2 linked regions of the Elephas maximus indicus genome follow. The protein of the gene in region 1 interacts with the protein of each later gene in a biochemical or structural test. Links are inferred from orthologs where the notes say so. Each region holds a gene or a part of one and is shown in the gene's direction. Other genes may lie near its edges.

Region 1 (7,730 bases):
TTTTTGATCCTGTAACATTTTTCATTCACAGAGTTACTGGAATATAGCTAGCTTAGTAAGTGTATCCTACTGTAAAGGGTAAGAACATAGCCAAGGTAAAACAGGTGACTTTTTGGTACTGAGATTGGAGATAACACAAAAGATTGTTTGTAACCTATACTCAGAAAAAATGTCAAAGAGTACAAAATGGAAAATAAATCGAGGCCAAAATGACCACAGCATAGGAATAAACGTTTGACTAGAAATTGTAATTTATTAAGTTTTGAGGGCTGTTAAAAAGTCTTGTTCTTTGGTTTATTTTATTGTTTTCATGTGATCACGTGTGCAAATCCTGATAACCAGTAACTTTCTCAAACGTTTCTGAAAGCCTCATAAAATCAACTTAATACTTATCTTATTTAAGGTAATTTGTGAAAATTTAATAAGGTTTTCCTGCCCCAAGGGTATGTATTGTGAAAGTAAAGCCTCACAAAGCCAAATGAATTCTCTTACATACCTTTGGTGATTTTTAGAATATGCCTTAAAGAAGTCAATAGTAAGGGTAGCTCATGAGCAATAGACAAAGTAGAATTGTTGTTGAATACATTTCTATATTCTGTGAGTTAATCTATACTTTCCTGTATCCTGCCAGTGTTGAACTGCTGCTGGTGTAAATTCTGTATTGTGGCCCACTGTAAGTGTTGCCCAACTCAAATATCAGATAAGGGTTTGATGCTTGCAGTATGTTGATAACATAAGTTGTAATGGTAACTCATGAAAAATATATGGTTCGTAATTCCTTTTTATTATTTAAAAAATGTTTTTGGAAAAGCATTTTTTTTTTCTAACTAGCATTATTCTTTTTTCCCCTGTCAAAATAAATAACTCAGACCGCCATTAACAGATTGCTGTGCAGGTTTAATAGACAACTTTAAAGTTGGGCAACATGTCATTACTCAGTACATCAGTGCTCCAGTTAAGTAAAAGATTTTCAGGGTACTTATATATAATTTCATCAGGAATTTTGAAGAAAAATTGTTACCAGCTGAGATTATATCAGAATACGTAGATCTTATAAGAGAGCAGTATGTGCTCAAACATTGTCAAAGCTTAGATAGAAACCGTACTAAGACAATCACAGATCAGTGAGCCATGGCTTTAAGACCTCTGGAGTCTTGGAAACAGGACTTGTCCATTAATCTTTAATTGTTTTCTGAAAGAATCAAATTTCAAGTGGTTCAGTGAGCCTGATCACCTAAATACAATTATGTGAAACTCAACAAGCTGCTTCTAAAAGTTAGTTACAGTTCAAGGCATAACTATAAGCTTTAAGATATATATATAAATATATATAATTACACAACACATAGGTTTCTAACATTTAGTAAGATAACCTTTAGTGTCATGGACAAGAGACCTCTGTTTTCATAAAGCAAAACTTACAATTTTATTTTATACCCCTTAGTTTTTTTATTTCAGTGAAAGGAAGCCCAGGACCATTTTTTTTTTGTTTTTTTTTGGAATCTATTATTGATCCTGTAGACAGAAACTGATGGAGTGAACTTAAAACAACAATAATCACTTTGACTTGGTTACCTAGTGCTGCTGTGACACAAATACCACAGATAGGTGGTTTTAAAGAACAGAATTTTATTTTCTCACAGTTTTGGAGACTAAAAGTCCAAATCAGGATCTCAGCTGTGTCAGTTCCTTCTCTGAGCCCTTCAGTTTCTGGTGTGTACCAGCAATCCTTGGCATTCCTTGGTGTTCCTTGGTGTCTGTCTTCTGAGTGTGTGTGTGTGTCTTATCTATTCTGGTCTTTTTATAACTCAAAGTGATTAGGTATAGGATTCAGCCTATATTGGCATGACATTAACATAACAAAAGAAAACCCCCTATTTTCAAACAGGGTCTTATCTACAGGTACAGTGGTTAGGATTTCAACACATATTTGGTGGGGGGAGGGGGACACAATTCAATCCCTAGCACACTTCTGACACAGAGAAACACAGGAGCAGTTTGGCTGGACAGTTCTTAGTGTCTTGTGAGGCTGCAATCAGATGCCACCTGGGGCTGCAGTCATATGAAGGCTTGGCTGGGGCTAGATGATAAATGCCCAAGGTGGCTCAGTCATATGGCTAGCAAGTTGGTGCTGGTCATTAGCAGGAAGCTTCAGTTCTTTCCATGTAGGCCTCTCCACAGGACTGAGTGAATTCATATGGTGGCTGACTTCCTCCACAGCATGCAAGGTAGAAGTAGCAATGCCTTTTATGACCCATCCTCAGAAGTCACACAAAGTCACTTCTGCCATACTTCACTGGTCACACAGTCTGTTTTGCTGCGGGAGAAGACTACACAAGTGCATTAATACCAGAAGGCAAAGATCACCGGAGGCCATCTTGGAAGCTGGCTACTACAGATACGTGAAAGCACTTTGTAAAATGCAAAATGATATACAAATGCTGAACAGTATTTTATACATATGACCACATTACCCCAGAATATCATCTAAAATGTCCCCAAATAGGAATTTACTTAGTAGCATGGTTATAATGCTGCAGTTATGAACTCCTATACCACAGTACGCTTGGGAGCCTCACAGGTGCACCATCAAATTTAGCTCATTATTTAGCTTATTTCTGCTTCAAGTTTAGGTAGATTACTGTTACAGTGATGTCTGTCAGAAGGAACTTTGACCTAGTCATGTGACACCATGCATCACGAGGTATTACTTGCCACAAGTAAAAGAGTTAGCAGTGTTAAAGTTGGTATGTCTTCTGTAATACAAGAAATTATGCCTGAGTGCATCAGCTCAATAAAAACCCAAGTAGTGACAAAGGGCTTAAAGGTGACCAATGACAGGAATGGTCAATATAAACTGAGCACTCAGCTGTCAGACACTAAGGGCTTTTATAAGTATGAACACACTATAAGCCAGTCCTATTACAGAGAAGAAACTAGGCACAGAAAAGTTTAGTAATTTCCCCAAGTCAAACATCTAGTGATTGAATACTGGTGAGGACAGTATTAAATTGCAAACAGTCTGGTTTCAAAGTAAGAACTCAGCCTCTACACTATACTACCTCGACTACAAAATTACCCTTGGTAATTCTGCTGCCTTCTTCAACACATCTCTGAAGATAGCATTCTTAACTCCTAGAAACATCAAATGCAAAGACAAGGGGGTAAACCTTTCCATCTTTATAGCAGCTCAAGCTCAAAACCTTAAAATCGCCCCCCTCCAATATCCAGTGTATCTATAAATCTTATCTGCTAAAAACCAAACCAGCCATCTGGATTACTGTAATAACTCTTTAAGAGACCTTTTTTAAATTACTACTTTATTTTTTTATTCTTGAAAGTATACACAGCAATACACCAATTCAACAATTTCTACATCTACAATTCAGTGACAATGATTACATTCTTCAAGTTGTGCAACCATTCTCACTCTCCTTTTCTGAATTGTTCCTCCCCCATTGACATGAAGTCACTGCTCCCTAAACTTCCTATTTAACCTCTGGAGTTGCTGTTGTCAATTTGATCCCATATAGTTTTTTTAAAAGAGCACAATGCTGAAGGCAGACATTCTTTCTGAGTAAGCTAACCTGTTGTTTGGTTTGAAGAAGACTTCAGGGGATTATAATTTAGGTTTAAAGGTTATCTTAGGACAATAGTTTCAAGGCTTCACCCAGGCTCAGTGGCCCAGAAGTCTGGATTCCATGAGAATCTGAAATTCTCTAACAGACCTTGCTCCTCTAAATCTAGTCTCTCACAACAACCAAAGTAAACCTTTTAAAAGAAGTCGGATCATATCTTTTATCTACTCAAAATCCTCCAATGGCTTTTCATGATGTTTTTCCTCAACCACCCTATTTAAAATAACACTCCCTTATTATCTCCATAGCACTTATCACTAAGTATCTTAACATATTTTGCTTATTACCTGTTTCTCCCACTGGAATGCTGATTTTTGTTTTGTTCCTTGCTGATTTCTCAAAGTCTACACCAGTGCCTGGCACATAGTAAGCACTCAATTACATATTATTTCAATGAGTTAATATGTTAACTTTATTTTGTTGATTTGTATGAAAATTGATAGGGATCTAGAAGTTGGGTATTTATCACAGATAACACACAGAGCACTTACGTGTCTAAACTTTCTAAGTGTTTCATCTAATCCTCACCATCCTATGATGTAGTCTATTATGATTTCCAGTTTAAAGGGTAGAGAATTGAGGATCACAGCACGTTTCAACTGAGTTGAATTTTTAGACCTGCTTTATAAATGAACTGGACTAAGAATGCCTCTAGACCAGTCCCTAAGAAAGTGACACCTGGTTAAGTAACCTGTGATCGCGGAGCTTGGCGTCCATAGCAACCGTGGCGAGGCCATACACGATCATGAACTAGCTACAAAGGGAGATCAAGGAAAAGGACAAGCCTCCCACACTCACACACACCTACCAAATTCCGAACTGAGAACACCAAATCCGAACGCCGACCTGTCTCCAGTAGCTAAGAAAAGACCCAAATTAAGAACTGTAAAAGGGTGACGCAAACAGCCACCATCAGATACACTCCTTTCGCGGAACCCGGAGTAGACTACGTCGCAAGGCGGGGGCGGTACAGCCCAGCCAATCAGCCGGGTCTCATGCAGCTTCCGGAGGGCGGACCCCGCTGGTATCCACTTAGCAGTACCCCGCCCATCCCGGAAGTGGGGCGGGGCTACTACAGTGTGGGAGTCCAGTGAACGGAAGAGGCTGTGGGAGCCTCTGAGGTAGCTTTAAATTCGCTTGGTTTTTGGAGCCTTACGTTTTCGGAGTCAGGCTTCACGCGCCGAATGGCTTTGGACGTGAAGTCGCGAGCAAAGCGTTATGAGAAACTGGACTTTCTCGGAGAGGGACAGGTGAGGGTCTCGTGCTGGGATTGGGAGGGCCCGGAGCGGAGAGCACAGTGCCGCCTCAGACCCTCGCGGATTTTCGCGTGGGACCAGCGGACTGGCCTGGCTGCTTGTTCTCCTTGGTGGAGGCGGCCCAGCCGCGCGTGCTACCCTTCTCTTTACACCCTAGAGGTGACCCCTGAGCAGCCCCCTCCCTTCCGAAGAACAGACGTGGAGTATCCCACCACATTTCTAGCGGCCCTGTGCTTCCCAAAATGTAAAAAAGTAAAAAGGCAATTACAAGAAAACTCCATAAACTCATATGTTATTTCTGTTTTCTGTCTAGTTCGCCACAGTTTACAAGGCCAGAGACAAGAACACCAATCAAATTGTCGCCATTAAAAAAGTGAGTTACACTTTGGGTCATTTCTCTCAAGTCTCTTTGAAAATGTATTATGAGCTGATAGATGACCGTTTTAGTACTCTTGATCTCTGCTAATAAGTTATGTCATTTTCAGAGACGATAGAATTGGGATATTGTTTTCTAAGATAGAACTCTGGGATTGAACCAGTTTGTTGTTCCATTAAATGAAACTGAAGTGAAGAAGAAACTGTACATTATTTTTGCTACATAAACTTTGTTGTTATATAAAGGACAAGTACTGCCCATCTGTTCCGTCTATTTTCTGCTGACAGAGTTACCATGAAAGGCTTTCACTAGCATTAGCAATAATGTGTGTTGCATTATATTTAAATTATTTATATAGCTTTTTTGCTTAACTCACATTGATTTAAGAAACTTAAGCCATATTCAGCATACATTCTGTGACTCAACAGTATAGCCACTCCTTTGTAAAACATCTAAACTCTCCTGATCTTTTCAAACTTCATCTTTTCGATTCTACCCCTGGTTCACTATATTCCACCACACTGACCTTTCTGTCCCTTTAACACATTAAATTCATTCCCCTCCCAGAACGTAGCATGACTGATTCCTTCTTATTTTGGAGTCTCACTCAAATGTCTCCTCCACATAGAGGCCTTCCCTGTCCACTATAGCTAAAACCGGTGTGTCCCTCTCCTTCACAGTCATTCTTTGGCATATTTCCTTGTGTCATCTTCATACCATTTATCAAATTCTAAAATTCTCTTATTTGTGAGTTTATTGTGTTTTCTTCCCCTTACATTATGCGTAGAGCTGTGACTGGCACATTTGTAAAAAACAAAACAAAATATATTGACCAGACTGACTAGTTGTTCTTGATAGGTGCAATCGAGAATAGAGTCAGTTCTAATAGTGACCCTGTAGGACACAGCAGAACCGCCCCCTAGGGTTTCCAGGGAGTGGCTGGTGGATTTGAACTGCCGACCTTTTGGTTAGCAGCTGAGCTCTTGACCACTGCACCACCAGGGCTCTGACTAGCTAGTATGATGTATTCATATTGTTGGCATATTGAGCTATATAGTTGTCTGAAAGTCCTAGTAGCTTGGCGTTTTTTGTTTGCTTGCTTTTAACATAAATTAGGACTTAGAATCTGTTTTTCAGTAATAGACTTTTCTCCTTTGAAGGTGACTTGTAGAATCTTCTTTTATGTTTAACCTTTATTTCAAATAATATATGCCTATAGTTTTAAAAGTCAGTTAATAGAACAGGATTTTAACCTGCCTGACTCCTCTTTACCCAGGTTTTCATTCCTCAGAGCACACACTTTAGACTCACCTGTTTCTTCTGGTGTTACCACCATATCTTTAAGCAATATGTTTATGTATTATTATTTCTTGAACTTTTTTTTTCCCCTTTCAATTTTAGACATTATCTATGCTTCCCACTATGAACATTGAGGATCTAGTGCTTGTGGACCTTCCCCTCCTGTGAGGCAAAGAACTCAGTTTGGCCTTTGTCTTTGGTTCCTGAGAGATAACCCTTGGAATCTCCTGAGTAATCAAGATGATTTTATTATCTAAAACCTCCAGACAACAGTTGAGGATTTGTACAAATGAGTCAAGGGGCTGGCCAGGCCACAAGGACCACCTGGTCAGCTAACCTCAGGGAGGGAGGGAGGGTGGTATGATTTAATCAATTACGCATATTCAGTGAGACCCCAATCATGACTATGCAATGAAGCCAGTAAAGGCCGTGGACATAAAAGTTCCAAGAGCGTCCTGGTTGATGAAAGACATTGATACATGTGGGAGGGTGGCATGTGTTTTGGAACATGGAAGCTTCATGTTGGTAACCCACCCTAGCCTTGCCCTGGGCATCTCTTCTTTATGCTGATCCTGATTTCTGTCTATTTTTGATAACAAATCTGTAATTGTGAGGATAGTAATTTCTGTGAGTTGTTCCAGCAAATTTTCAAACCCAAAGGAGTAATGGGAGCCAGCAGGTGAAAGTGAGGGAGACCAGGAGAGGCCCCTGAGCTTGCGGCTGGCTCCCTGAAGGGGTAGTGGGGAAACCCCTACTTTGTGCCCAGCAAGTCAGAAGTAAGGGTGTGGTGCAGACCCCCAGGCTTTCATCTGGTGTGTGCTTATTTGGCAGCCTAAAGGACAGTGTCCTTTTAAGTTGTGAAATCTATCTAGCTCCAGGTGGCTGGGGTTAGAGAAAGAAGTGCCATATGGGTGGCTGGAATCAGAACTGAACAAGGAAAGTGGGAATTTGTTATATCTTCATAGTTAGTAACAGAATAGTGGTTTTCTGAGATTTCCACAGGACAGTTGCAGTTGGGATGTGAACACTGATTTATCCTTACACCTCTCAACACCCATATATTTCAGTTTCACCCATATACAAATATAGTTTATAGCAATTTTTGGCTAACAATACAAAAATGTGTAATTTAGAAGTCAATTCTCTCCTATGCAACTTTGA
Region 2 (7,054 bases), on another chromosome or scaffold:
CATACTAACTCATTTAATTCTTCTAACAACCCTGTGAGGCAGGTACTATTATTACCCTTATTTAACATTTGTGAAAACGGCAGCACAGAGAGGTTTGGGAACTTGCCCAAGGTTGTAAAGCAAATGAGTGGCAGAGCCAGGATTTGACCTCTGGCAGTTTGACTCCAGAGCCCTTGCTCCTCATTACCGCACGTGATAGACATCTACTTACGGCCCCGTCTTTGATGAAGGTGTGGCACAGATCTGCAATTTTATTTCTTGACAGCGATATTCTCCTGAGGTAAAGCTCTCCCCTCTCAATCATGATCTTTTTACATTTGGAGTAATCCTAGGGAGGAAAGAGCAACGTGAGAGGACGGAGAGGGTCACAGTAAAGCCGAGGACATGAGAGGATGGAGAGGGTCACAGTAAGGCCGAGGGTGTTTGTAAGCAAATAGGGAAGTGGGAGGGCAGGGCTTACAGAGTATTCCAGGGAGGTCAGGCTGATGAAGCGAAGGAAGAGTTCCCCTCCAGAGGACACGGCCACAGAGGAGTCCACACCACACAGGGTTTCTATGGCATTGGTGAGGTTCGCTCGCAGGCCCTGGATTGTCTCCCCTGGAATGACCACACGAGGAATGTGTTCTTTTTAGCACCACAGCCCCTTGTGGAGGCTGAGATTCATGAATTCATTCAGTGATTATTTACTGGGTGCGTACACTAAGCCTGGGTTCTCCAGCTGCTGAGGGAACATCAGTGAACAAGATGCATAAGGTCCCTGCTCTGCTGCAACTCCCCTTCTAGAAGAGGGGGCAGACGATAAACAAGCACCCAGATAAACAGGCAAGTTAATTACAGATGTAACGGGGACAGAAAAAAGCAGAATGAGAAAGGTGCAGCCACTGCTTTACGATTAACGATGTATTGCAAAACAGCTCTTTAAGGTGTTAAAAAGCAAACCTGTCACTCTGAGGACTAAGGTGCCCCTGACCCAAGCCATGGAATTTTCATTTGCTTCATATGCACATGAAAGCTGGACAATGAATAAGGAAGACTGAAGAAAAATTGATGCATTTGAATTATGGTGTCCTTGAAGAATATTGACTATACCACGGACTGCCAAAAGAATGAACAAATCTGTCTCGGAAGAAGTACAGCCAGAATGCTCCTTAGAAGCCAGGATGGTGAGATTTTGTCTCACGTACATTGGACATGTTATCAGGAGGGACCAGTCCCTGGAGAAAGACATCATGTTTGGTAAAGAAGAGGGTGAGCGAAAAAGAGGAAGACCCTCCATGAGATGGACGGATACAGTGGCTCCAAAAATGGGGTTAAACACAGCAACAATTGTGAGGATGGAGCAGGACCAGACAGTTTTTCATTCTGTTGTACATACGGTTGTTATGAGCTGGAACTTACCTCATGGCAGCTAACAATAACAACAACAACAGGGGTAGCCTCCTGGAATGGGGGCCATTTAAACTGAGACCAGACTAAGGAAGGATCCAGCCCCATAAAGATCCGGTGGGAAAGTTACCAGGCGTAGACTATAACAACGCAAAGTCCCAGAGATGGGCACAAACTTGGCCTGAGGAAAAAAGAGGTGCCAGCACGACTGAAGCAGAGCTCAATGAGGGGGAGCAGAGAAGGAAGTAGGTAGCAGACGCAGAGGAGGTGTGCAACGTGGTGGAGGCCCAGGGCTTTGCATGTTATTGTAAGGACAAGGGGAAGACACTAGAGACTGTCTTAGAGACACCGGTCTCTAGGTCAGCCCTTTAGAGGGCTCTTTAATATCATGCTACATCCACGTAGATACCCGGGTGGCATGATGGTTAGGAGCTTGGCTGTTAACCAAAAGGTTGGCAGTTCAAATCCACCAGGTGCTTACTGGAAACCCTATGGGGCAGCTCTGCCCTGTCCTGTAGGGTTGCTATGAGTCAGAATCCACTCGACAGCAATGGGTTTGGTGTGTTTTTTTTAATACCCAAGTGTTTACATTTAGGATGTCTGAATTAATAGATCACAGTTAATGTCATTAAGTCCAGAATTTATTCCAGGACATTCTCTCTAGCACCTGCACAGAATCTGGCACAGGGAAAACGTTCGATAAACATTTGTAAAGCTGAGGTATTGCTAAATTTTAAACTTTACAGTTACCTTGATACAGCAGTTACTCGCACAGAAAGGATATTTCACTTATAAAAGGGGGGCCCTTTGCCAGTGAGTTTATGGTAATGGGGGTGGAGCAATTCAAAAAAGGAGGGTGAGAATGGCTGCACAACTTGAGGAATGTAACCAATGTCACTGAAGTGTACATACAGAAACTGTTGAATTGGTGTATGTTATGTATATTCTCAACAACAACAAATAAAATTTAAAAAAAGATTTGGAAATAAATAAAATTGTCAATACTCAGAGATTGAAATGGGGGGAGCCCTTTGATGATAACTTGAGGACTCTCTACAGGTTAAAAGGAACGCTTAAATGAAGAAGAATGTGAGCTTGGAGCTCTAAGACCTAACGTAGGCAGACATACATCTCTCACTTTCTTCACTTCTCCTAACAGCTATTGGAAGACTTTCCTAAGGCCCAGCATGTTTGAGGATGCTCTTCTCCTACCTTTATCTCTCTTTAAGAACTCCAGCAAAGTTCGGATGGCAGCCACTGCTGAGGCCATGTCAGGATCTTCTTTGATCTGAGACTTGAAGTATTCAATTAACTCTGGGAAAGGAGAAAAAAAGAGACATGGTTAATGACTATTAACCTTAGGAAAAAGGAGCCCTGGTGGCACAGTGGTTAAGCACTCAATTGGTAACCAAAAAGTTAGTGGTCCAAACCCAGTCAGCAGCTCCACAGGAGAAAGACCTGGTGATACGCTTCCCTAAAGATAATGGCATTGGGAACCCTATGGGGCAGTTCTGCTCTGTCACTTAGGGTCGCTAGGAGTCGGAATCGTCTCGACAGCACCTAACGATAACAACAGTAGGAAACAAAACAAGGAATACTTTCTTTTCAAGGTTTTGGCTGTAAGTGAACTTCAGGGGGACGACAAATGTTAATGGGAACGGAAATGACGCCACTTTACTGTTCGTAAGCTTTCTTCCTGTCTCATTTTGAAAAGGCCGTCCATGTTCAATGGTATAAAATTCAAGCTCTGCTAAATGATAGTGAAAAGTCATTCTCCTATCCTTAATCCCAAGTCCTGAGAGGATTTAGAATCAACCACCATTATCAGTTTCTTCTACATCCTTTCAAGGAGAGTCTTGGCTAATTCAAGCGCACGCACACATATACACATCTGTGTACGCAGAATTCCACCACCCTTTGTTTTTTTACATGATAGGTACTTTGTACATTAGCTTGCTCCTTGTTTTTTACTTAAATGTCTTCAAAACCATATTAGAGGAGTATGTCGGCTATGCCTTACTTTTTAGATTGTAACAGATCCACTAGGGCAGGGAGTCTTATTGCTATTTCACATACGAAGAAGGCGAGTCTTCGAAGGCCTGCACGCTCGTCCAAAGTCTCACTTTTTTGGAGAATGGACATGGGAAGAAGCGCGCGGGGGAGGGCAGTGCCTGTGGACACTCTCAGGGCCCATCCCCCACCTATAGGAGCAGCGAGGGAGATGTAGCTTTTACTAGAAGAAGGACACGCTGCAGAGCTGCCTGAGCTTGGAAAGCGACCTCTCTTCTCTCCGTGTGCAGCCTGGGCGTGCGAGATGGGAGACCCCGACCCGCTTTAGGCGCAGTGGCCCCAGCCTGCCTCGCCCCACTTTACCCTTTTCGTCCATGGTGCGCTCCGGACGGCGAAGCTCGGGAAGATCAGAAGCACCCGCGCTGCCTCGACAGATGCCGCGACTGTGCCGGCTCGAAGCCGCTGAGACTGACAGCGCGCGCCGCAGTTCTGCAGCCCATTTCCGGCGCGCCGGGAGCGTGTCTACGAGTACGGCGCGGCCCCGTCCAAACCTGTCCCGACGTCACTGGGCAGCGCCGGAAGTCGGTCCGCGGATTCCCGACGGTCGCCCGATTGCTGCTGGCTCTGCGCGGAGGCCGCCATGGTCTCAGACGGTGAGAGTTGCGCCGGGGTTGGGCGGACTCTGCCCGGCCAGGACCGGCGAAATGGAGTGTAGTTTTTCGGCTGGATGGGACGTATTTGGTGTTTAGAGGAGTAGCGAATGCATTCATTCATTCGTTCACTCAGTAAATGTGGAGCGGGTACTGTGTGCTAGGCATTATTTTATGCGCTGAGGATACAGCAGAGACCATGATAGACAAGGTCTCTGCTCTCATGGCATTGCATTCTAGTGGGCGAGACAGACAATGAGCAGGAAAACAAAAATAATCTCAAGGGATGACAAGAGCCACGAAGACAATATGATAGGATGATGTGGTAGCTTGTGCTTAGTGGAGGGAGCAAGAGCTACTTCAGTCCAGGGAAGATCGTAATGTTTAAACTAAGACTTGGGTCGACCATGCGAAGTTCCTGGGGGAGTGCATTGTAAGTGCAAAGGCCTTGTGGCAGGTCAAGACGCCACATTACTGAGAAGACAGAACTGGGGAACCTGGTGATGGCGAAGGTGGGGAGGCATTTATTCATACAGTAAACTACAAGCTGTGAAGCATGATGTCTTGAGGGAAGAAAAAGGAGGCCAGGATGGCTGGAGCAGACTGAACTAGAAGGACAGTAGAAGAGGATGAGACCAGAGAGCTGCCAGGTGCTGCATCATGCAGGGCCGCATAGCTGGAGCTTTAAGTGTGATGCATACTTAAGAAATATTATGATCTAATTTACATTTTTGAAAGATCAGTTTGCTGTGTGGAAAATGGACTGTGTGAGCAAGAGAAGAAATAGGAAGATCCATTCTGAGGGTGTAAAAATGGTCCATGCTTCTCTTATCTGTTTTAATATACACGACATCCCTTTGAGGGGGGCAGACCTGGCTTTTCTTTTCTTGTGCTTTAAGTGAAAGTTTACAAATCAAGTCAGTCTCTCATATAAAAACTTACACACAGTTTGCTGTGTAACCCTAGCCACTCTCCCCCTAATATAACAGCACACTCCTCCTCTCCACCCTGTATTCCCCATGTCCATTCACCCAACTCCTGTCCCCCCTGCTTTCTCATCTTGCCATCAGACAGGAGATGCCCACATGGTCTCGTGTCTACGTGAGCCAAGAAGCTCACCCCTCGCCAGTATCATTTTGTCTATATAGTCCACTCCAATCCTTGTCTGAAGAGTTGGCTTTGGGAATGATTCCAGTCTTGGGCTAACAGAGAGTCTGGGGGCCATGACCTCTGGGGTCCCTCCAGTCTTAGACCATAAGTCTGGTCTTTTTGAGGTCTGCATCCCACTGTTCTCCTGCTCCATCAGGGATTCTCTTTTGTGTTCCCTGTCAGGGCAGTGGGCAGACCTGGCTTTGTTGTCCCTATTTACAGATGAGGAGGTCGAGACCCAAAGGACGTTCACAGGGACATTTTGGATGTACTGATACACATAACTCTCCACACAGGCAACATACTCTCTTTTTCTCAGGCTGTCTTGGTAACATCAGAGAACTAACGGTTCTGAGAATTGTGAGGTGGGGCCTGATGGGGAATACAGGTAAAGGTTTGAGGGCTTATGGGTAGAGAAGTGAGGGCCTGTGGGAGAGACAGTTATTAAAGCCCTGCTTCTTTTTTTTCTGTGCTAGCCACTTTGTGATTTACACTTATTACGTCATTTGTCCCAAGACTAGCAAAAATCATTCTTTAAGGCCTCCACAGTTTAGTGAGCAGGGCTGGGAAGAGAGATGAGAAGCACACAACTAACTAACATGAGGTAGTGAGAGCTAAATGTCATTAGAGGAGTGTCCATTGGTGCAGCTAGTGGTCAGAGTCAGGCTGTGGGGCAATGAAAAACTACAGTCTTTAGAGTCAAGGAGATCTGTCTTTACAGCAAGGTCTTGGCTTTGCCACTTGCCAGCAGGACATGTGACTTTGGGCAACTTGCTCTTATTTGCAAAATGAGAATACTGTATTTCATGTAATCTAAGATGACATGCTGTTATTTTATGTACCTCTGAAGAGACAAAACATGCTGTCAATTTTAATAGTAAGGCACCACCCTGAGTTTAATGAAAAAAAAAAAAGGAATGCCTTGTAATTGATGAAAGACAGGATTCATAAATATAAAAATAAAAGGAAAAAGGAATGCTTATAACTGATGAAAGACAGCATTCATATGTCCCTTGTTGGGTTGCTTTTAGTATAAAACAGGATTATGGGATTATATATGCCAGTGCTTGGTGCAGAGAAGGCTGGCATTCCCTCTCACCTGAGAGGAGGGAGTCAGGATCTCTTGCTGGAAGACCTGTGGAAGGCTTTGGGAAGAAAGAGGTAACATTGCTTTTGGTCCTTGAATTTGTCAGACCTTTTACTCCTGTGACACAAGAAAGAACGCAGTGGCTTGGAGGAGGAAAGGGGGAAGGTACAATCACATGGAAAGCAGGCGAGAGCGTGCTCAGGACCCACTAAGTTTTAAATCTTTAAAAGAATTTGGCCTTCTGTTAATATGGCTGTGGGATGATAAACATATAAAAGCATGTGTTGGTGCTTGCTCTAAATTGTACTAATGGGGAATGTTAGCGGTGATTCACTCTCATGAGACTAATGTATTTTTTTTTGTTGTTGTTAACATTTTCAGAAGATGAATTGAATCTTCTAGTGATCATAGTTGACACCAACCCAATTTGGTGGGGAAAGCAAGCATTAAAAGAATCTCAGGTAAGACTGCTTAAGGAAGCCTTTGGATGATTCTGGTTTAACTGAGAACGTGTTTATATTGCTTTGTAACAAAAAACAGCTTTACAAAAACCAAACCCAGTGCCGTTGAGTCGATTCCGACTCACAACGACCTTATAGGACAGAGTAGGACTGCTCCATAGAGTTTCCATGGAGCGCCTGGCAGATTCGAACTGCCAACCCTTTGGTTAGCAGCCGTGGCAGTTAACCACTACGCCACCAGGGTTTCCATAAAACAGCTTTATGAAGGTATAATTTACATACCATAAAATTCCCCCATGATAACGTACAAG

The links. The genes of interacting proteins can lie anywhere in the genome.
Region 2: the proteins of CDK7 (region 1) and GTF2H3 form a complex in vitro, tested with the Homo sapiens proteins (2 studies listed by BioGRID). The link is inferred for Elephas maximus indicus from reciprocal best matches to the Homo sapiens genes CDK7 and GTF2H3.

What each region holds. Positions count from the first base shown.
Region 1 is NC_064820.1:74,677,726-74,685,455, forward strand, and holds the start of CDK7 (cyclin-dependent kinase 7), read left to right. Parts: upstream 1-4,711; 5' UTR 4,712-4,822; coding exon 4,823-4,888; intron 4,889-5,207; coding exon 5,208-5,267; intron 5,268-7,730. UniProt on the Homo sapiens protein: Serine/threonine kinase involved in cell cycle control and in RNA polymerase II-mediated RNA transcription. Cyclin-dependent kinases (CDKs) are activated by the binding to a cyclin and mediate the progression through the cell cycle.
Region 2 is NC_064840.1:6,741,744-6,748,797, reverse strand, and holds the start of GTF2H3 (general transcription factor IIH subunit 3), read left to right. Parts: upstream 1-3,975; 5' UTR 3,976-4,036; coding exon 4,037-4,049; intron 4,050-6,663; coding exon 6,664-6,743; intron 6,744-7,054. Other genes in the region: EIF2B1 (translation initiation factor eIF-2B subunit alpha), read right to left, coding at 212-328, 461-597, 2,599-2,700, 3,760-3,772. UniProt on the Homo sapiens protein: Component of the general transcription and DNA repair factor IIH (TFIIH) core complex, which is involved in general and transcription-coupled nucleotide excision repair (NER) of damaged DNA and, when complexed to CAK, in RNA transcription by RNA polymerase II.